Linked DNA regions of Mus musculus. The protein of the gene in region 2 interacts with the protein of the main gene of each other region in a pairwise test. Links are inferred from orthologs where the notes say so. Each region holds a gene or a part of one and is shown on either strand. Other genes may lie near its edges.

The links.
Region 1: the proteins of Eef1a1 (region 2) and Hspe1 interact in a two-hybrid assay, tested with the Homo sapiens proteins (2 studies listed by BioGRID and IntAct, with this or other methods). The link is inferred for Mus musculus from reciprocal best matches to the Homo sapiens genes EEF1A1 and HSPE1.
Region 3: the proteins of Eef1a1 (region 2) and Ikbkg interact in a two-hybrid assay, tested with the Homo sapiens proteins (2 studies listed by BioGRID and IntAct, with this or other methods). The link is inferred for Mus musculus from reciprocal best matches to the Homo sapiens genes EEF1A1 and IKBKG.
Region 4: the proteins of Eef1a1 (region 2) and Lamtor5 interact in a two-hybrid assay, tested with the Homo sapiens proteins (2 studies listed by BioGRID and IntAct). The link is inferred for Mus musculus from reciprocal best matches to the Homo sapiens genes EEF1A1 and LAMTOR5.
Region 5: the proteins of Eef1a1 (region 2) and Gadd45g interact in a two-hybrid assay, tested with the Homo sapiens proteins (2 studies listed by BioGRID and IntAct). The link is inferred for Mus musculus from reciprocal best matches to the Homo sapiens genes EEF1A1 and GADD45G.

What each region holds. Positions count from the first base shown.
Region 1 is NC_000067.6:55,086,736-55,090,956, reverse strand, and holds the start of Hspe1 (10 kDa heat shock protein, mitochondrial), read right to left. Parts: upstream 2,810-4,221; 5' UTR 2,548-2,809; coding exon 2,545-2,547; intron 1,907-2,544; coding exon 1,742-1,906; intron 245-1,741; coding exon 155-244; intron 1-154. Other genes in the region: Hspd1 (60 kDa heat shock protein, mitochondrial), read left to right, coding at 4,018-4,191. UniProt on the Homo sapiens protein: Co-chaperonin implicated in mitochondrial protein import and macromolecular assembly. Together with Hsp60, facilitates the correct folding of imported proteins.
Region 2 is NC_000075.6:78,478,917-78,483,175, reverse strand, and holds the start of Eef1a1 (elongation factor 1-alpha 1), read left to right. Parts: upstream 1-1,451; 5' UTR 1,452-1,537; intron 1,538-2,487; 5' UTR 2,488-2,521; coding exon 2,522-2,665; intron 2,666-2,755; coding exon 2,756-2,935; intron 2,936-3,027; coding exon 3,028-3,324; intron 3,325-3,401; coding exon 3,402-3,552; intron 3,553-3,641; coding exon 3,642-3,898; intron 3,899-3,983; coding exon 3,984-4,218; intron 4,219-4,259. UniProt on the Homo sapiens protein: Translation elongation factor that catalyzes the GTP-dependent binding of aminoacyl-tRNA (aa-tRNA) to the A-site of ribosomes during the elongation phase of protein synthesis.
Region 3 is NC_000086.7:74,428,275-74,432,487, forward strand, and holds the start of Ikbkg (NF-kappa-B essential modulator), read left to right. Parts: upstream 1-1,406; 5' UTR 1,407-1,547; exon of another isoform or gene 1,548-3,392; intron 3,393-4,213. UniProt on the Homo sapiens protein: Regulatory subunit of the IKK core complex which phosphorylates inhibitors of NF-kappa-B thus leading to the dissociation of the inhibitor/NF-kappa-B complex and ultimately the degradation of the inhibitor.
Region 4 is NC_000069.6:107,277,501-107,281,664, forward strand, and holds the start of Lamtor5 (ragulator complex protein LAMTOR5), read left to right. Parts: upstream 1-1,357; 5' UTR 1,358-1,416; coding exon 1,417-1,613; intron 1,614-2,369; coding exon 2,370-2,431; intron 2,432-4,164. UniProt on the Homo sapiens protein: As part of the Ragulator complex it is involved in amino acid sensing and activation of mTORC1, a signaling complex promoting cell growth in response to growth factors, energy levels, and amino acids.
Region 5 is NC_000079.6:51,845,322-51,848,983, forward strand, and holds Gadd45g (growth arrest and DNA damage-inducible protein GADD45 gamma), read left to right. Parts: upstream 1-1,353; 5' UTR 1,354-1,458; coding exon 1,459-1,511; intron 1,512-2,030; coding exon 2,031-2,132; intron 2,133-2,234; coding exon 2,235-2,448; intron 2,449-2,547; coding exon 2,548-2,658; 3' UTR 2,659-3,154; downstream 3,155-3,662. UniProt on the Homo sapiens protein: Involved in the regulation of growth and apoptosis. Mediates activation of stress-responsive MTK1/MEKK4 MAPKKK.

The DNA.
Region 1 (4,221 bases), on a different chromosome or scaffold from region 2:
AGAGGCAGGTGGATTTCTGAGTTCGGGGCCAGCCTGGTTTACAGAGTGAGTTCCAGGACAGCCAAGGCTACACAGAGAAACCCAGTCTTGAACCACCCCCTCCCCCGAAATTAAAAAAAAAATAGATAAAATAAAAATTCTTAGCTTGACTTACCTTGTCATCTAGAACTACTTTGGTGCCTCCATATTCTGGGAGAAGAACTTTATCTCCAACTTTCACACTGACAGGCTCAATCTCTCCACTCTGATGAAAACAGTCACTTGTTAGCCAAGAGTCTGCTTGTCTTGTTCATTAGACACACAGTGAACTTTTTGTTTCAGTATGCACACCAGGGGCCTCCTGCCTCAGGTTTGTATTATAGGCATTAACCAGTCACATTAAACTCTGTAACTTTTAAATCACTAAATTAATGAAATGTGCCCAAACCAGTATGTTCTTAGGTACCTAATTAGTGGTTAAGCAATATAATTTACATTAAATATAGATCCCTACAATATAAGAATTGCATAGTTACAATATGAAGGAGACACTCACTAAAACTTCATTTCAGTGGACAACTAAGGCTGGCTAACTTTCTACTGTTAAATATTAACACACCCTGTAGACCAAGTAAAATAAAGCAGCTTGTACCACCAGACGGTAAATGATCATGTATGATTCCTTTCAACAAAAATTCGGCATTACCTTTCTCCGTTTAATATACATTTACTGACTGAATGCCCTTGTTATCTATCAAGAGACTGAAGTGGAATGTCTACTCCCCCTAATACTCTCGCGATTTAGTTAAGTAAAGAACACCCACAGTAGTTCCACCTCCCTTCTCAAGTCTCATGCCAACTAAAACTCAATGGTGTAAGATTAAAACTATTTCAGTGTCTGGGCTCCCCCACCCCTGCCACTTCACCCTTTCTTTTTGGGGAAGGGAGAGGGAGACAGGGTCTATATCAAAATTGACAGGCCATCAATTCCGGATCCTTCTACCTCAGCACTATACCCTTCTCCCAACCTGTGCTTAGAATTAGTTCTGTGCCTTATTAATAAATACCTCCTTCAGCTCTGAAATGGCCGTGGGGGTTTATCTACTTGCGCGATCTTTTTGTCTATTTAAAATTTGAAGAACAGGATATAAAATAGCTACAGAGGTTATTTCATATTGTAAGATTTTGTTTTACTTTTTTGGGACATGGTCTCATCCTGTACCTCCTGCTGGCCTAAAAAGATTCTACAGTCCACCTGCCTTAGGCTCCAAAGAACCTGGGCCACAGGCATGAGCCACCATCAAGGCAGGCACTTTTCAGCCTCTAGAGCTTGGGGCACTGCAGAGTTAGCTCAGTGGGTAAACAGGTAAGTAGACTTGCTATGAAAGTAGGGGAGCCCAAACCAGGATCCTAAAACTAGAGTAAAAAGGCTGTAACCCGCAACATGTTGAGGCCCAGAAACCAGACTAGTCAACACTTTACCCCAAAGGAGTAAGGTGGAGATGCCCCTGCTACACAGCATATAGACATGTGCAAACACGTCACACAAATACCTTTTGCCTTTCTTCAGAAACATAAAATAATTCTAAAACAATATAAAACAGTCATTTTCCTGAATGGGAGGTTCTTTGTGAATTGAAATTTGACTTGAAATTCTTCCCCCCAAAAATGCCATTGTAATTCATTTTTTTAATTACCAAAGGAATTCCCCTCCTTCCACATCACACTGGAATTCAGTACCACTCCAGGGGCACCAGTTTACCTTTCCTTTCCCTCCTGACCCCACAGCCACGACCGTTGCTTGCAACACTTTTCCTTGAGACTTTTCTGGAAGCATAATGCCACCTTTGGTTACAGTTTCGGCAGCACTCCTTTCAACCAATACTCTGTCAAAGAGCGGAAGAAACTTCCTAAAAGCTTGTCCAGCCTGTGGAGAGAAATGTGATCAAACAGAGTGTAAGTTCGAAGTGTCAGAACACGAACAGTTAAGACCACCGCAAGCCTTAACTCTCAACAGGTCAAAACTGACCTGTTCCAAAAAGGACAAGAAAATTCAAGTGTACTTTTAGAATATACTCAGTGTTCCACTCTATATAGGACAAACTGAGTTTCATTTCCCTGTCTGGTGTGTGTGTGTGTGTGGTGGTGGTGGTGGGGGGGGGTCTTCATTACTAATCAGCAATCGCCACCTTGATCTATTCCAAGGTCAAACATTTCTTTAATTTTTTTAAAAATTCGAATAACGGGGGAGTGGCGTCACTTTTCGAGCCTGGATCTTAGTCTTTCTCCAACATAGGACACATCCACTGAAGCCCTGCCAGGGCAGGTGGGCTTCTGCGTGTGCATCGGGTTCCCGCCCCCTGCCCCAGACGCTTTGTCGCACACGTGCGTGCGGCAAAGCCATGGTGGAGAGAGAAATGGCCTCGCTTCTGCAGAGCCATGGGCGGACACCGGACACTGACCAGACCCCGGACCCCTGTCCTATTAGTCCCAAAGCGCACAAGGGTTCGCCGTGGGCCGCAGGCCGAACTGGACCCGCAGGCCTGCCAACCACGAGACACTCACCATGACTCTCGCCTTCGCCGCCACCACCGCAGCTCCGGACTCTGAACTCGGGCCGCTGCTGCAAGGAGAGTCCTGCTGGCCGGCTGGGACACGTGAAAAGGCCGCGCAGCGCGCAGGCGCACTCAGCCCCCCGAGCGTGAGAGGGGGCGGCCACGCCGACGCGCGCGCCGATTGGTGGCGAGGGCTCCGCGCAAGGGGGCCGACGCGGGCGGCCGGAGGCGGAAGAAAAGGGGAGCACTTTCTAGGCTTTTCCAGGCCGGCCGCCGAGGTGAAAGAACGAGCCCCCCTCCCGGAAATGACGCCACTTGACCTTTCACCCACGGGACGCGCGGGGCCTTCCGGAAGGTTCTAGAACGGACCGTGGCCCAGGAACCAGCGTAGGGCGGCGGGAGAGGGCTGAGGCCGCAGAGCTGAGGCGGCTCTGGTACGGAGGGCGGGGCCGCGCGCGCCGCATGCAGATTGCAGGGCCCCGGCGTGGGAGAGAGCGGGGGGCGCGCGCGCGCACACGCGGGGCCGCGGGGCGGGGCGGGGAGGGAGGGGACTCGGGCTCATTGCGGTGCGCGCCCAGAGCTGGGTCCCTCACTCGCCGCAGACGGCCTGCCTCGCCTCGTGCTCTCCTGCCGCCGCCCCGCAGGTACGCGGCCTCGGCGTGCAGGGCGCCCCGGCGCTCGCGGGGGGCTGCTTGCAGCGCGGACCGAGCACGGAGGACTAGGGGGAGAAGTCTGGCAGCGACGCCGCAGGCTCGGCTCACTTGTCCAGGCCCAGCGGGGCCACGCTGGTTTCATCACGTGTGGCGGGGACCACGCGATCCAGGCCGAGCGCCGGAGCAAGGGCGGGCTAGGGTGGAAGCAACTTGGGCCCTCTGGTGCCACCTGCGCCTGGCGCACTGCAGGACTCTGTGGGAGGGTGGTCGGGGTCCTTTAGTCCCCGGTGGCCGCGGCGGTCCGGTGTTCACTTTGACCTTGCTCGGGGCTCCTGGTCGGGAAGACACGTGGGGCCGCGAGGCTGGACTGACCTACTGTCTTTTCCTCCGGCCTTGCTAGCTGCTGTGTTACCGTAGCTTCGGGTGGATACCTGGCGACACACTCAGAGGGTTTTGCACCGTCATGAGTACTTCTGTAGTTCTCTAGGCAATTGCATTTAGAACCTGCCTTGCTTGCACCAACTTGATTTTTTTCCTTTGGACACTTTTCGGAGTGGATCTGCTCCCAAGGCCGCTTTGGCAGTGAAAGATTAACTTGAGAGGGCAGAGTGGGTGGCCATGGGGATGTGGTTTTCTGTGCTTTGTGCTTATGCTGTTGGTCAGGCTTGGGGTCAGCCTCCATGATCAGTTGGCTAGCAGATTATGCCCTGAATCTGCAGCGCCCAGGCATGGTGGTTAGCAGAGGACAGCCCAGCTCCAATCTAGCCTCCCATGTTTTGAAGCACCGTTGGACAAGTTTGTAGTGATTTTTCTTTTTTCCTTCCCCAGAAATGCTTCGACTACCCACAGTCCTTCGCCAGATGAGACCAGTGTCCCGGGCACTGGCTCCTCATCTCACTCGGGCCTATGCCAAAGATGTAAAATTTGGTGCGGACGCTCGAGCCTTAATGCTTCAAGGTGTAGACCTTTTAGCAGATGCTGTAGCTGTTACAATGGGGCCAAAGGTACCAGTATACTTAAATGGTGTTAAAGAA
Region 2 (4,259 bases):
TTTGCTTTGAACTGGTTCCAAATTGTTTTATATTTAAGTTTTTCCCTTGACTGTGGAACTCTTCCCCAGAAACAAATAGTTCCTTTGCAAATCCTGTGTGTTTTTGTGAACACTAGACAGAGGCCCTCAAATGCTCCTAGTAAGGTTGGTGCAAGAACATCAAATGTTTGTAACTGGGAAGTGATGTTGTACACCTGGGAGAGGAGATCCAATGATGGATAATCAGATAGGATATCTTTGAGCTAGGAACTGTAACTTGGTGATAGACACCCTAGGGTTCCATCTCCAGCACCCCATATCCCATTACAAAATAATTCTTTTTCCATCTCTAGCATTAAAAAACAAAACAAAGAAGTTCTTCTTTCCTCTGAGAAACACTTCTGTGTGCCTGCTCTGAGAGGCATTTAAAAATGGCCAGGGCTTTAATCCCAGCAGGTCCAGGTCGGATTCCTGTGAATTTGAAGTCAGCCTGGTCTACTACCTATTCCAGGGCAGCCAGGGCTAAAAAAGAGAGACCTTGTCTCAATAACAAAACAATGCTGGTATGATCGCTAGAATTGCAGCAAAGAAAGGGATGTAACTAACAAGGCAAGCCATTTTTGAGAAGCAGTGATTTCACAAGTGTTAGGGATGGGCGCTGGGAGATTGCTGATGCTGGTATTTAGATGAGACCATGTGGGGTGGATTAGATTATTTTCAGGTTTCTCATGTTCAATCAAATGGCTGTACATACACATGTACACATACAATCTTTTTAGTGTAACAAACCTAGAATCAAAGTAAAGCTAACTGTAGGATTGAAGCATATTCTGAACTGAACCCTTAGGGGTGTGAAGGCCGCTTCAGGTTTCCAGAGAATCAACCGGCATTGGATGGAATAAACCAAGGGGCCAGCCCAGGGGCAGATCGGTCGAGCTCTCCGCTACTGAGCTAAGCCCTTGGGTTCTAGAGCCGGGAAGGGTCCCCAACATTGTGTTCCTCTCCCAGCCAGGAGAGCATGGGCTGCGGGAGGCGAACAGAAGGATAGCGGGGCTGACGTCGGGAGGTGGCCTCCGTGGGAAGGGACACCCGGATCTTGACACAGCCTTGGCAGCGGAGTAAGGAAGAGTAGGGATAGATTCTGGCCGCCCTCTTGGCCAGCTTCTCGCCGCCCCACCCTCCGCTAGGGCCAAGAGTAATTCATACAAAAGGAGGGATCGCCTTCGCCTGGGGAAGTCCCAGGGACCGTCGCTAAATTCTCATAACCCATAATCCCGGTACCCGCCCCACCACAGTGCGAGGAGCATGCGCTCAGGGCTGAGCGCGGGGAGAGCAGAGCACACAAGCTCATAGACCCTGGTCGTGGGGGGAGGGGCGCACTGAGCGGGGGGGGGGGGGGTGATGGGGGGGAGGACCGGGGAGCTGGCGCGGGGCAAACTGGGAAAGCGGTGTCGTGTGCTGGCTCCGCCCTCTTCCCGAGGGTGGGGGAGAACGGTATATAAGTGCGGCAGTCGCCTTGGACGTTCTTTTTCGCAACGGGTTTGCCGTCAGAACGCAGGTGAGGGGCGGGTGTGGCTTCCGCGGGCCGCCGAGCTGGAGGTCCTGCTCCGAGCGGGCCGGGCCCCGCTGTCGTCGGCGGGGATTAGCTGCGAGCATTCCCGCTTCGAGTTGCGGGCGGCGCGGGAGGCAGAGTGCGAGGCCTAGCGGCAACCCCGTAGCCTCGCCTCGTGTCCGGCTTGAGGCCTAGCGTGGTGTCCGCGCCGCCGCCGCGTGCTACTCCGGCCGCACTCTGGTCTTTTTTTTTTTGTTGTTGTTGTTGCCCTGCTGCCTTCGATTGCCGTTCAGCAATAGGGGCTAACAAAGGGAGGGTGCGGGGCTTGCTCGCCCGGAGCCCGGAGAGGTCATGGTTGGGGAGGAATGGAGGGACAGGAGTGGCGGCTGGGGCCCGCCCGCCTTCGGAGCACATGTCCGACGCCACCTGGATGGGGCGAGGCCTGGGGTTTTTCCCGAAGCAACCAGGCTGGGGTTAGCGTGCCGAGGCCATGTGGCCCCAGCACCCGGCACGATCTGGCTTGGCGGCGCCGCGTTGCCCTGCCTCCCTAACTAGGGTGAGGCCATCCCGTCCGGCACCAGTTGCGTGCGTGGAAAGATGGCCGCTCCCGGGCCCTGTTGCAAGGAGCTCAAAATGGAGGACGCGGCAGCCCGGTGGAGCGGGCGGGTGAGTCACCCACACAAAGGAAGAGGGCCTGGTCCCTCACCGGCTGCTGCTTCCTGTGACCCCGTGGTCCTATCGGCCGCAATAGTCACCTCGGGCTTTTGAGCACGGCTAGTCGCGGCGGGGGGAGGGGATGTAATGGCGTTGGAGTTTGTTCACATTTGGTGGGTGGAGACTAGTCAGGCCAGCCTGGCGCTGGAAGTCATTTTTGGAATTTGTCCCCTTGAGTTTTGAGCGGAGCTAATTCTCGGGCTTCTTAGCGGTTCAAAGGTATCTTTTAAACCCTTTTTTAGGTGTTGTGAAAACCACCGCTAATTCAAAGCAAAAATGGGAAAGGAAAAGACTCACATCAACATCGTCGTAATCGGACACGTAGATTCCGGCAAGTCCACCACAACCGGCCACCTGATCTACAAATGTGGTGGAATCGACAAGCGAACCATCGAAAAGTTTGAGAAGGAGGCTGCTGAGGCAAGTATAAGGCAAAAGGAGGGATGGGAATTCTTTAAGCAGGGAGTAGAACCTAGGTCTTGGGTGTACTAATTAGAAGTCACTTTGCAGATGGGAAAGGGCTCCTTCAAGTACGCCTGGGTCTTAGACAAACTGAAAGCTGAGCGTGAGCGTGGTATCACTATTGACATCTCCCTGTGGAAATTCGAGACCAGCAAATACTATGTGACCATCATTGATGCCCCAGGACACAGAGACTTCATCAAAAACATGATTACAGGCACATCCCAGGTGTGTAAAATTTACCCATTCCTGACTCAGGATATTTTTTAGTGGGGTGCTTTCTCTGAGATAATGGTATATGATTGTCTTGTTTCTTACAGGCTGACTGTGCTGTCCTGATTGTTGCTGCTGGTGTTGGTGAATTTGAAGCTGGTATCTCCAAGAACGGGCAGACCCGCGAGCATGCTCTTCTGGCTTACACCCTGGGTGTGAAACAGCTGATTGTTGGTGTCAACAAAATGGATTCCACCGAGCCACCATACAGTCAGAAGAGATACGAGGAAATCGTTAAGGAAGTCAGCACCTACATTAAGAAAATTGGCTACAACCCTGACACAGTAGCATTTGTGCCAATTTCTGGTTGGAATGGTGACAACATGCTGGAGCCAAGTGCTAATGTAAGTGACTTTTAAGGTAGTTGAATGGAGAAAGCCGCAATAAGTAAGGAGGTTATAATTGACTGCCTGTGTTTTAGATGCCTTGGTTCAAGGGATGGAAAGTCACCCGCAAAGATGGCAGTGCCAGTGGCACCACGCTGCTGGAAGCTTTGGATTGTATCCTACCACCAACTCGTCCAACTGACAAGCCCCTGCGACTGCCCCTCCAGGATGTCTATAAAATTGGAGGTAAGTAGAATATTAAGTAGAATGTTGACGTGAATTTGAAGTCTTATGTTTTGTGTATTAAATACTTATACAAAACAATACTATTTTAGGCATTGGCACTGTCCCTGTGGGCCGAGTGGAGACTGGTGTTCTCAAGCCTGGCATGGTGGTTACCTTTGCTCCAGTCAATGTAACAACTGAAGTCAAGTCTGTTGAAATGCACCATGAAGCTTTGAGTGAAGCTCTTCCTGGGGACAATGTGGGCTTCAATGTAAAGAACGTGTCGGTCAAAGATGTTAGACGAGGCAATGTTGCTGGTGACAGCAAAAACGACCCACCAATGGAAGCAGCTGGCTTCACTGCTCAGGTGACACATTTTTAAGATAGGTGGCTAGATTGGTTGTGTGTGCAGAATCACAAGGCAAGACTTAAATACACGCTGTTTTTCTTAGGTGATTATCCTGAACCATCCAGGCCAAATCAGTGCTGGCTACGCTCCTGTTCTGGATTGTCACACAGCCCACATAGCATGCAAGTTTGCTGAGCTTAAAGAAAAGATCGATCGTCGTTCTGGTAAGAAGCTGGAAGATGGCCCCAAGTTCCTGAAGTCTGGCGATGCTGCCATTGTTGATATGGTCCCTGGCAAGCCCATGTGTGTTGAGAGCTTCTCTGACTACCCTCCACTTGGTAAGCCTGATCTGAGTCTGCTACACTGAACATCAAGTTTG
Region 3 (4,213 bases), on a different chromosome or scaffold from region 2:
GTGACGATTACTAAAACCACTGGCCGGGAATGCTCTGTGTGTGTGTGTGTGTGTACGCGCGCGCGCGCGCGCGCGCGCGAGCATACATGCATTCGGAGATTCAGAAACTGCTGCCTCTGAGCTCCAGCCATAACCTCCAAAGTTGCCTTCGCTAGGGGCTGTACATTACGAAAGTACTAAAGCTTTAATATAATTCACCTAGGACATCCACTGTGGGCAGCTAGATAAAATCTGGTTACGGCATCACACTCTGTATATGGGACCATCGTATCGTACTCGGGTGTCTGCCAGAAACTCCACAATGAACTGAGCACGTTTGATTGTGCAGATGATGGAGTTCAGCTCCGGCTCTCTTCTGGCCCAGTTGGGTGATCCCCGAAAGTCCCTTCTCTTCTAAAGGTCTAGTCCTCATGGGCCCAATGCGGGGAAAGTGCGGGATACAAAGGGATGGGTTAAAAACTTGTAGATTAGCGCGCATCAAAGGGACTCGCGGCGTACAAGCGTGAAGCATGTCCCTCCACCGACATGCCATCAGACCACCCCTTTACCTGAGTTTAGTTGCCGCTGCCAAACACGTTCACAGATCTGTAGCGCACAGCCAGTTTCCGGGGGCTAAGCTTCGCTGGCCCATTTAACGCAAGAGGGCGTGTGCTTTGACTGAGCTGACCCGCCTCAGGAGAGGCAGGAGGGGAGGAGCTTCGGGCTAGTCTATCATTGCAGGAGGAGATGCGCGCGCATCCCTGGCCAGCCCCGCCCTTTGGCCTTCCCCGATGCCGCTGCCCCTACAATTTCGAGATCGCAAAGTCTTGTCATAAGTGCAGCTCCACACAGTTCTCCTGGGTCCCCGTCTCCTGTGTCACCCAGCCATTATGTATGGCCTAGCTTTCCGCTGGACCTTCGAGGCCCTGCACCTTCCCGGATGACCCCACTTCCGTTAGCAGCATAGCCACGCCTTCCCTAGCTGCTAGTTTGGCTTCGGAGCTGGACTTTCGCAGCTTCCTCTAGGCTTTTTCCTTGGTGGGGGCCCAGCGGCAGAGAGCCCAGTAGCAGGACCAGACTGAAACTTGGGTGTTTTAGTGCGGATGCGGTGCCTTGAAAATGGGGTAGGGGCGAGTGTGGGCGTGGTGACGCACTACTTTAATCCTAGCAGACGGGAAAAAAGAGGCAGGTAGATCTCTGAGTTCGAGACCCTGGTCTTATGGGACCCTGTCTCAAAAAAAAAGTGTGTGTATAAGTGTGTGATGTTTATCAGTGAGGAGAGCTCTGGTGTTCTGCTGGCCGACGCAGGCTGGCGATCTAAGACTTTTCTTTGGAACAGAGTATGGCACTTTGGGGTTTTGATTCACTGGTTAATCTCCAAGCCTTTGAGTCTGTGTTTTACTTCCGGATCCCGCACTTACGACACCGGAAGCCGGAAGTGGAGTTTTCCACTGCAGAGAAGGGAAGGGTGACCGCCTGACTAGGACTTTCTAGGAGCTCCGGTTCTGTCGGAGCGGTCGGATCCCTCTGCTCCTGCCCTCTTCACTTCTGGCCGACTCTGCTGACAGGTGTGGTCCTCTTCTCCAAAGACAGGGCTCCATCGGTGGCTGTTTCGTAGCTTCCGAGACTCCAGAGGTCCACACCCTTCCCCCCACCTTAGGCCCAGTTTGTTCTGCCGCAAGCTTCTAATTATTCGCTACCCAGATTATTTAGGCTAGTCGGATTGAATCTGCCCTTCCCTTCACTGCAGCTGTCGCCTAAGGGCTTGGCCCCTAGTGCTAGAACTCTTTAGGTAGCAGACATTTTCTGTTGATCAAACTGTTTCTGAAACACGTTTTGCACTGTAGGCCAGGTAGACCTCGAACTCAAAGTTCTGCCTCAGCCTTTCGAGTGCTAGAGCAACAGGTGTTCGCCATCAGGCTAGGCTGTTTATCAAACTTGAGTGCATTTGAAGTCTTTAAAAAGTTTTCACGTGTACCTTCACAACTAAAGGTCTTACCTTCTGCACCTCAGTTTACTTTGCAAATGATTCATAGTAATCTGTTTGCCTGTCCTCATAACATTTATCTGACCTGAGAAGGAATGTGTTGTCTTGGCATTTCCTAGGAAAAAGGAAGGACCAGAGAGGGCAAGGGAGAATAGTTGGTGGAGAGGAAGGAAGGGAGTATAGGTGGTATAGGATCTTGTAGGCTGTTGTATGGACTTTGCTTTTTAACACTAGGAGAAATGGAAACTCTGAAAGAGTTCATGGTAGAGAAGAGAAGTAGTTTGAGTTATTTTTGAGGTAATTGGCCCCAGTGGGGCCAATTAACTGCAAAGGGCCATTGAAAAGGCAAAGCATGGTGACCCGTAAAGAGATTATTGCAGTAATGCAGGTGAAAGATGATAGCGCTGTCAGCCTTGAATTACTGAAAAAATTTAAAATGTACAAAAGTAGAAATAATAATATAGTAAATTCCATGTACACATTTCTTAGCTGTGACTATCAGCTCATAGTTAACTTTAATCCACACCCCATTACAATCCTTTACCATGATTATTTTCTTTTCTACAGAAGATGTTATTTTATGTGTATAGGTGCTTTGCTATGCTTTCCTAGTGCCCAAGGGAGTCAGAAGAAGGTTTCAGATCCCCTTGGATTGGAGTTACAGATGTTTGTGAGCCACATCTGCAACAACAAGTGCTCTTAATCCCTGAACCATTATCTCTCTTGCTCCACCCATTGCGATTTTCAATAACAGCTTTCTTGAGACATAATTGGCATGCTACAAAAATTACTATTTGTGTGTGTGCCCCCCACATGCATGCATGATGTATGATTTGTACAGGGAGCACAGGTGCCATGGCTAGAATGTGTAGAGCTCAGAGGACAACATTGAGTCAGCTATCTTCTTTCCACCTTTATATGTTCTCATGTCTCCAGGCTTGCATAGCAAGGGCCTTTATCCACTGAGCTGTCTCCCTTGCCCATACTTCAATATTTTTTTAAACAGTCTCTTCTAGATCCCTTCCCTTTGAGTTTCTAATCCCCTGGAGCTGGAGTTACAAAAGGTTGTGAGTTGCCCAACATGGGTGCTGGGAACTGAACTTGGGCTCTCTGGAAGAGCACTGAGTGCTCCTAATAGCTGAGACATCTCTCCAACTTCTTTTAAGACTTCTAGACATCCAAGTAGTTTTATAAATATCTGGAATTTAGGAATGAGAACTGTTTGGGATATTATCAACATTAAGATTTGGGTTAAAAGCCATGAGACCGGATGGAATTACTGCAGGGGTGAATGCAGTTAAGAAAGAAGTCCCAAAGTTCCTCAACGTGAAGAAGTGGGGACTCAGGAAAAGGGCCTGAGCAGCATCAGCCTTTGAGGGAGTGAGTCACCAGCAGAGAAGGCTTTTCTGGAACCTGAAGGAAGAAAGTAGGTGAAAAAGTGGGGAGGGTCAGTTGTGTGGGCTCAGGCAGATGGACCTATGGGTAGCAACACCTTTAGTATAAATAGCCAATATTCCCCAGTGTTACAGGAGGTCTCCCTTATTGAAAGCCCACTTCTGGAAACTTGCATTGAGATCATTCTCTTCCTGGTTGTCAGTATGAGGCAGGATTTACAAGGTCTCCAGGTTAGTATTGTCCTGCATATTCTCTGGTTTAAAAGCCAGCATAAGCAGATCAGGGGTCATGTGTCTCGGACACCCCAGTTCACACTTTCACACTTCTTAGAGCAAAGAAGTCACAAGAGGTCTCTATCCCCAGTGAACACTTTTCAGGTACAATGTGGTCTCCTGAAGTCTCTTTTATCATGTGTTTGTGTTTTCTTGACTCCTGTAAGAAGTGACCACAGGCCAAGTGGCTTAAAAGAACAGAAAATTGATATCTCACAGGTCTGGAGGCCAGGAGAATAAAACCAGAAGGTGAACAAGGTTATGCTTCATCTGCAAGCTGTACAAGAGTATCCTTCATGTGTCTTATAGTTGTGGGTAGCTCAGTTGTTTCTTGGCCTGTGGTTATATCAATCTAGTTGAGTAATAAGGTACTTGTTACTGGGCTCATGGCCCACCTATATAACTTGCAGTGATCTCAATTTGAGAGCCTTGATTTTTGTGAGACAGGTTCTTACTATGTAGAGCAAGCTGGCCTTGAATTCGCAGAGATTGTGCCTTCTAAGTGCTGGGATTAAAGACATGCACCACTATGCCTGGCTTGAAATCCTTAGTTTAACTACATCTGTAAAGACCATTTTTT
Region 4 (4,164 bases), on a different chromosome or scaffold from region 2:
CTGTCCTGAAAAGGTATTTATAATAAATTCTGTGAAGAATCCCTGCTACATAATTCAGAATTGTATATATAGTATGTATATTGATTTTGCTTTTAAAAAACATTTCTCTACAGAGTGAGTTCCAGGACAGCCAGGGCTACACAGAGAAACCCTGTCTCGAAAAACAAAAAAAAAAAAAAAACAAAAAACAAAAAACAAAAAAAATTCAAATAATACATTTGCAAAGATAGCCATATGGAAAAGATAGTCTCCAAAATATCCTTATCAAACTATCATCTCTTCACAGTAGGACTATGAGTGGTTAGTTTATTCTAAAGTTTTTAAACCCAGGCATGTTGGTGTAATCCCAGCACTTGGGAAGTAAAAGCAGAGAGATCAATACTTCAAGGCCAGCCTCGGACACACTGCAAATTTGAGGGCAATGAGGGGTATATGAGATACTGTCTCTAAAACAGAAAAGGGAATAAAAATTTTAAAGCTCAGTTATTTTAAAGTAATAATACACGGTCTTCACTAACACCTAAAACTTAAACCTAATTTCTTCCCCCTAAAACTTCCCATGACCTAGCTATTAGAAGTATCAATGCAAATTAAATATGGCACATGGCAGTAAATCACAGGACAAAGGTGGGAGAATTCGAGGCCAACCTACGAGAACAAAGAAGGTACCAATGTTAAGATTCTGACACTTTCCCAGCACGCAGTTTGGGGTTTCAACGTGTGCCATCTCTTCCTTTAGTCCCGTGTGTGCACCCCTCCCCATCGGCCCTGTGTGATAGGTTACTTCTCCTCCGATGTTGGTGAAATGAATCAATTTAAACCAGAGTAGATGATGTTAAAGGCAGGTTTATTGGGAAGCTGCCAGCCGGTGGGTGAGTTCACTGGCCCCAAGGACCAAGGCCAGCGAAGTTTCCTGGGAAAGGAAGGAAGAAAGAGAGAAGGGGGAATGTGTGCAGAGAGAGAAAAGGAGAAGGAGACCAAAATGTCTGGATTCTATAGAAAGGAGCCCTATAGAAAGGGAAGGGCAGCCCAGCCCCTGGGCTGGAAAGTTCAGGGTTGGGGGCAAGGTATGCCAGGTGGGAACTGAGGGATGCAGAACCTGGAGGCCAGTTCTGCTTTGATAGGTAAAGTATACACCTCAGCCTCTTGACCTAGGGTCAGAAACTGAGCACTGTCTTCTTAGCGATTGGCCTATTGCATAGATGAGACCATGCCAGACCTGCTGGTTACTTTAAAATTTAAACCAGGTCTACGTCTGGTTAGGACTGGAAATTGCTTGAACCAAATCCAAAGGTTAAAAATCACTAAGTCCAAGTGCTAGGTCAGGAAAAGGCCCTGAGGCCCGACTACAGATTGCTTTGAAGGCCCAGCACCCCCAATCGAAAGCCAGCCATCACTGGTCCTGTGGTAGTAGCTATGCCTTTTCGTAAAGAGCGCGGACGCGGCGCCGCGCTGAATTTCGTCCCTCTGGAGACGCCGTCCAGGCGCCCGCCTCGGTCAAGTCACGTGATCGAGGTTTGCGGTGAAGGAGGAAGTGTTTTGCTGCGGGGTCCTGGCCTGGGGCGGACAGCCTGCGGGATGGAGGCGACTTTGGAGCAGCATTTGGAGGACACGTGAGTAGTGCGTGCGGCCGGTCCTGGGCTCCGGACAGGGGAGCTGGAATGGGACAGCGGCATGGACCGCGAGTGTCTGCGGAAGCGTTTGGGGCACTCGGGGCGGCGAGCGGGTGACTTCTGCCTACGGCCGGGCCGCTCGTTACTGGGTAGTAAAGTTTCGTTAGGCGTGTTCGCAGAATCGAGTAGCTCTTGAGAAGTTTGGGAAACGGATTAAGTTTGGGGAAGGATGCCCCGGGTGTGCTAAATCGAGCCCCCGCAGTGCCAAAGCACTTTCACGCACATCTTCCCGCGTTTGTGGCCCGTCAGTTGCTCAGCGCTTGTGAAGTAAATATATCCGTAAAGTTTTTCAGCTATCTCTGTAAAATTTAAAATTGGGAGGTGTAAAGTGGCTTACAAGAAGACACCTCCTCCTTGAGCTTCTTAATCCCCTCCAGGAGCAATTCCCGTTACTGAGATTTAACAGTTGTCTTCAGGAGTTGCAGTCCTAGAGCATGCTTCTATACCAAGGACAGAGCCCTAAAGATAACTGCCTTGTTTGTGTCTTTGTGAAGCAGAGGTGCCTGAGAAAATGGTTTGGGTTTTGTTTTGTTTATTTAAACAACTCACAGTTTGTCCTCTGAAAGGGGGCGAAAAAATTTAAGGGCTGATTTGAAGTGCTTAATACTCGGTGCATAGAAAATCTGTTTTACTACAGTAATTTGAAATATTTTCTTCACATCATCTGGTTCATCTTTCTTGTGCTCCCAAAATTAGAATGAAGAATCCATCCATTGTTGGAGTCCTATGCACAGATTCACAAGGACTTAATCTGGGCTGTAAGTGTCTCCTACCAGCCTCCCTTTGAAGTTCTGAGAGCCTTAACTTACACTGCTACTATTTTCTAGCTTTTATTCCTGTTACCTTTAGGGCATAGAGACTATCTCCAAGTAAGAGTAGATGGTTGAAGCCTTTCAGTTGCATTTTAAAGGCAGAAATGTTCCTCCCAGTTCTACAACTGTTCCTACTAAAATGGTTTTGAATAAATTTTAAGTGGTCTAGAAAAGGGCTTTAGATAAGGACATCTTTACTGAATGCATTCCCTGTGCAGGCACAGTCAGGCTACACTATTTCCTTAATTGCCTCAATAACCCTGAAAATGGATGATGCTGGCTGCTAGTCCAGCCACTCTCAACAGTAAGTTATTGTCAGTAAAAATAGGGATTTCCTAGTTAGACACGTCTGACTTCAACCCCATTCTCCGATGCTGTCTGCTAGCAACATGAGTGCCGAACAGAAGGAGCCTCTTGGGGCTTCAGTTTCTTCATTGGGTTATTTTATTTCATACATACATTATGTGTGTGTTGTCTTAAGACATTTTTTTTTAAAAACTTATTCTACGTGGCCCTGGCTGTCCTGGAACAAACTTTGTAGACCATGCTGGCCTGTAACTCACAGAGATCTGCCTGCCTCTATCCCTTGAATGCTGGGAACAAAGGTGTGCATCACCATGCCCAGCCAGGCACTATTCTTAGTGTTTTCATTATAAAACGTACATAACCCCCCTTCCTGCCCCCCCCCCCCCACCAAAGCCCTTTATGGTCAAGAAATTTAGCAAGCTTAAAAGTACCTTGCCCAGGGTCAAACACCTAATGAATGGTTGAGATAGGATGTTTTTAAAGCTGGCTCCAAAGCTTAAAACACCCAGTACAGAACCAAGATGTGTTTGTGTGGTGTTCAATAAATTGTAGCAATTACAGATAAGGAACTAAGTCCAGAAAGGTAAATAGCTAAAGTTAATTAATGTCAGAAACTAGTAAACCCAAGAATCCTTATAACTGATGCAGGTTTTTTAGAGCTCTGATCTTTTGCTGGTATGATACCTGACAAAAGTAATATAGTTATGTCTTATACAAAAAGCAGCCATTTGGAACAAAGGTAAATTTTTTTGAAGCATTTGCCAAGTTACTAATGAAAACTCTTTAAATGCAAATGTGGAGGAAAAAAAAAAACTAAGTAAAACCTTCAAGGTGCGAAGTTGCTATTTCCAATAGATTTCCGGGCTGCACTTTGGCCTACGGATTTTTTATGTAGTAATAGTCAATCCAGAATTTCTGCCAGGTTATATTGTCTACTACCTTAGTTTTAGGTGTAAGTAAACCCCTTTATTTCAGGGATCTATAATAAGCTTGGTGGTTACCTTTTGTGCCTAGAGCCTGATTTAGTTAATACAAGTCAAAGTAATAGTAAAGACTCGGGGGACATTTGAAAGGAGCCCAGCTAGCTTCTGCTAGCAGAAATAGTTGCTCACAGGTCTTCACATATGCTGGCAAGGTGATCTTACAACTGGACTTCTGAGTAATGGCTGCTTCTTTGAGATTGAGCATAGGAAGAGAAACTCAGATTTCCCATAAGGAATTAATTAGCATCAACAAGCCCCTTATCCATACTGAATGCTTTTTGTCACTCTCGCCTTTGAATTTCTTGGTTTCAGCAAGGTTCCTATAAAATAGTTACTACCATCAGATGACTTGAATTACAGCTTCCTTATATGCTTGAGAAGGTGTTTAGA
Region 5 (3,662 bases), on a different chromosome or scaffold from region 2:
TGTGCAGGTCCCACGGGACAAACGATAAGTTCAGAAAGCTCTCAAGATCACTTCTAATTTTATTACGTTATCAGAAAAGAACCTCTTGAAGAAACATTTTTAAGTAGTTGAAATATTTCAAATTCTCATAAGACAAACGGATTCTTGGTCCTGGGTGGCAGGCTCCTTTCGGTCTCCAGGCCCGGGCGCCCGGTGCAGGCGTTACCCTGATTCTAAATGATGCGCATAATAGCACAGGGTTCTCGGTGCTTGGGGTGTCCCAGCTCAAACCCCCCTGAGAGGTCAACGCGAGGCAATATTTGGTGGGTGGATGAGAGGATCTGGATTTTTCTAGGTCGGCCGGTAGGCGGCGCCCTGGGAAAAACAATGTGGAACAGCCGAGTTCCCGGAGTCTGAACCCCGGAACCTCTGGGGTTTGGGGCACAGTAGCCTTGGTGTACAGCTCACTCTCGAGCTTAGCACGCGTGCATCAGAATCCCAGCAGTCAGAATAAGCCTAAGAGGTGCGCACCCAGTGGCGGGGGAGCGGCACGCTGCTCCGACCCCCACGCGCCGGGCAACCCCGCGACCCCGGCTCCCGACGGGGCTCGGCCCACCCCACCGGCGGCAGGTGGACAGTGTTGCTATGAAAGAGAAAGCGTCGATTGTCCCCACCGCGAACTGCCACACGCCAGACCTCCTCTTTTGTGTGCCCCGTATAGAAATGCAAACGAGCCGCGTGTGCCGGCAGCAATCTGCTGGTCCCTGCTGCCCGCGTCCCACAGCGATCTGCTAGGGGTAGGGGTGGGGGATGGGAGGGCTTAGACCTTGCAGCCGCGACCCCGAAAGGCGCAGAGTCCTGAGTCCCTAGTGGCAGCCTAGGCCTAATGTCAGCTGCAGTTGCAAACCTTTGACTTTAAGTTTCGGTTTCGATGTAACAACCCTATAAACTTCAAACTGAAAATTGAGGAAAAATTAGAAAGGTCGCAAAAAAAAAAAAAAAAAAAAGAGCAAAAAAAAAAAAAAAAAGAGGGGGCTTTTACATTCTCCAAGTGTGCATTCTACAAATTCCAGTATCGTATCAGCAAACAACGTACTTTTTTTTTAAACTTTTTCCTTTTAAGGACTTACAAAAAAAGAAAGGCGAGATGAAATCTGCAGGCTCCAGTCTGCCTGGTAACACCCTGACAAAAGCGGCAGATTTGAGGCTGTGTCATCCCCCGCACCCCTCCCCACGTGGCCTTCTGGCACGAGCCGCAGGCCTGCCGCCTCATTTGCATCAGAAAGCGGGCGCTGGCCAATGGGAGTGCAGCCTCCCGCCAGCTGGCGGCGGCGCGCCGAGCCTGTCTATAAAAGGGCTCTCCCGGCCCAGCCTGGCGCACTCGCTGGTGGTGGGCGCGCATCGGACTCTGGGAATCTTTACCTGCGCTCGGGTTCCCTCCGCACTCTTTTGGATAACTTGCTGTTCGTGGATCGCACAATGACTCTGGAAGAAGTCCGTGGCCAGGATACAGTTCCGGAAAGCACAGCCAGGTGGGTTTTGGGGTGCCGAGAGTTGGCCTTGTCTGGTAGTGGTCTTACAGGGTCCTCTAGGATAGAAGTTTGCAGGGTGGGAGCCGTGCACTGTCTGGCTGTGAGGTGCCGAGGCGCGGGACCAGAATTACTGCATTCGATTCGTGTCTAGAGCTAGAGTTTGGGGTGCCAGCACCTGATCGTAGTTGGGGAGCCTGATATACGGGCGCCAGATCAGAAGTAGGGAACTGGGAGTGCAGGCGCCAGGTCGAGACTGGGTGATGGGGAATGAGGGCGCCAGATCATGACTAGGGTGCCAGAGGTGTGGGCGTCAGGTCGGGACTGGGGATCCGGGTGTGTGGGCGCCAGGTCGGGACTGGGGATCCTGGTGTGTGGGCGCCAGGTTGGAGTTGGGAGGCAGGAATGCTGGCGCCAGGCAGGTCTAGGCTAAGGGGCCAGCTGGGACTTGGAGGTCAGGGCAGGGATCTCTCCGTCGCGTCCCCGTGCTGGTCCCCACTCACGGCGCTTGTTCTTTCACAGGATGCAGGGCGCCGGGAAAGCACTGCACGAACTTCTGCTGTCGGCGCAGCGCCAGGGCTGTCTGACCGCTGGCGTCTACGAGTCCGCCAAAGTCCTGAATGTGTGAGTGTAGAAAGGCCCCGCGTGCAGGGATTGGGGTTGGCGCGGCGCGGAGACCTGGGGGTGGCATCGACTCTGACCTTGTCCTTCCCATCTGCTCTGCAGGGACCCTGACAATGTGACCTTTTGCGTGCTGGCTGCCGATGAAGAAGATGAGGGCGACATAGCGCTGCAGATCCATTTCACGTTGATTCAGGCGTTCTGCTGTGAGAACGACATTGATATCGTGCGCGTGGGAGACGTGCAGAGGCTGGCGGCGATCGTGGGCGCCGACGAAGAGGGGGGCGCGCCGGGAGACCTGCATTGCATCCTCATTTCGGTGAGTGTCCCCCACTGTTTCCCTACGCCAGTCCCCCAAACCATCCTGGCCAACGACAAGCATGGCTGACCCATGTATTTTTTTTTTTTTTAAATTCAGAATCCTAATGAGGACACATGGAAGGACCCTGCCTTGGAGAAGCTCAGTTTGTTCTGCGAGGAGAGCCGCAGCTTCAACGACTGGGTGCCCAGCATCACCCTTCCCGAGTGACAGCCTGGCAGGGACCTTGGTCTGATCGACTTGGTGACACTCTAGCGCGCTGCTGGCTCTGGAGTGGCCCTCCGAGGGCGCTCGAGTGCGCGTGGAGACTGGCAGGCGATGTTGCCTGGAGAGCGAGGAGCGCGGCCTCCCAAGAAGGGGGTCTGGCGGCAGCGGGGACACCTTGTTCCGAGCCCAGGACTCTGCCAGTGTCCGGAGAGGCTGCTAGCACAGGAAGGCCTAGGCGAGGACGTTGGCCCCAGGGCCGGGAAGAACCGACCAGCGAGGCAGGTGTGACTCAGCAAGCAGCCTTCCAGTGAAAGGAGGGGAAAGAAAGGCAGGCGACCGCCTGGACTTGGTACAGCGGCAGGAGCGGCCACTGCAGGAGCGAGCTGGACTTAGCCGACTGCACTGCTCTTTCAAAAAACGGATCCCGGGCAATGCTTTCATTTTCTAAAGGACGCTATCGTGGAAGCTTTGAATATCACAATAAACTTATTGAAACAAACTTAATGCCTTTTTATTGAGGGTAGGGGATTCTAATGGGGAGGGGGCGGCGGTAAAGGATGTTTCACGGCACCTGGGACCACCTTTCTGTTGGGGCAAGAAACTGCAGCCTCCTGGGGCTGGCGGTGGGGGAGGGGGTGCAGGCGAGTAGTAAACGGGAGAACTTGGGCCAGAGTACTGTTTGAGCCTTTCAGGAAGATTTCAAACTTGCAAGACAGGAGCATACTTGATAAGGCATCCGGGTGCAGGAGCTCCAGGCTTGCAATCCAATTCGATAACAGTGACTTCTGCCTCCAGTACCTCCCCTCCCCCGCTCCGCCCCCTCCCCCCACCTTTGCCTCGACAGCTGCTTATCTGAACAGCTTGCGGGAGGCCCTGTGCCTTCCAATACAATGAGCTTGCCTCTGCAGCTCTGCCCTTGGTGCGGTGGCTGGGGATGGGGGCGGGTTGCTCTAGCTTTCAGGAACTTTCTCCTTTTAATTGCTCTGACAAAGCTACGCTACTAAAGT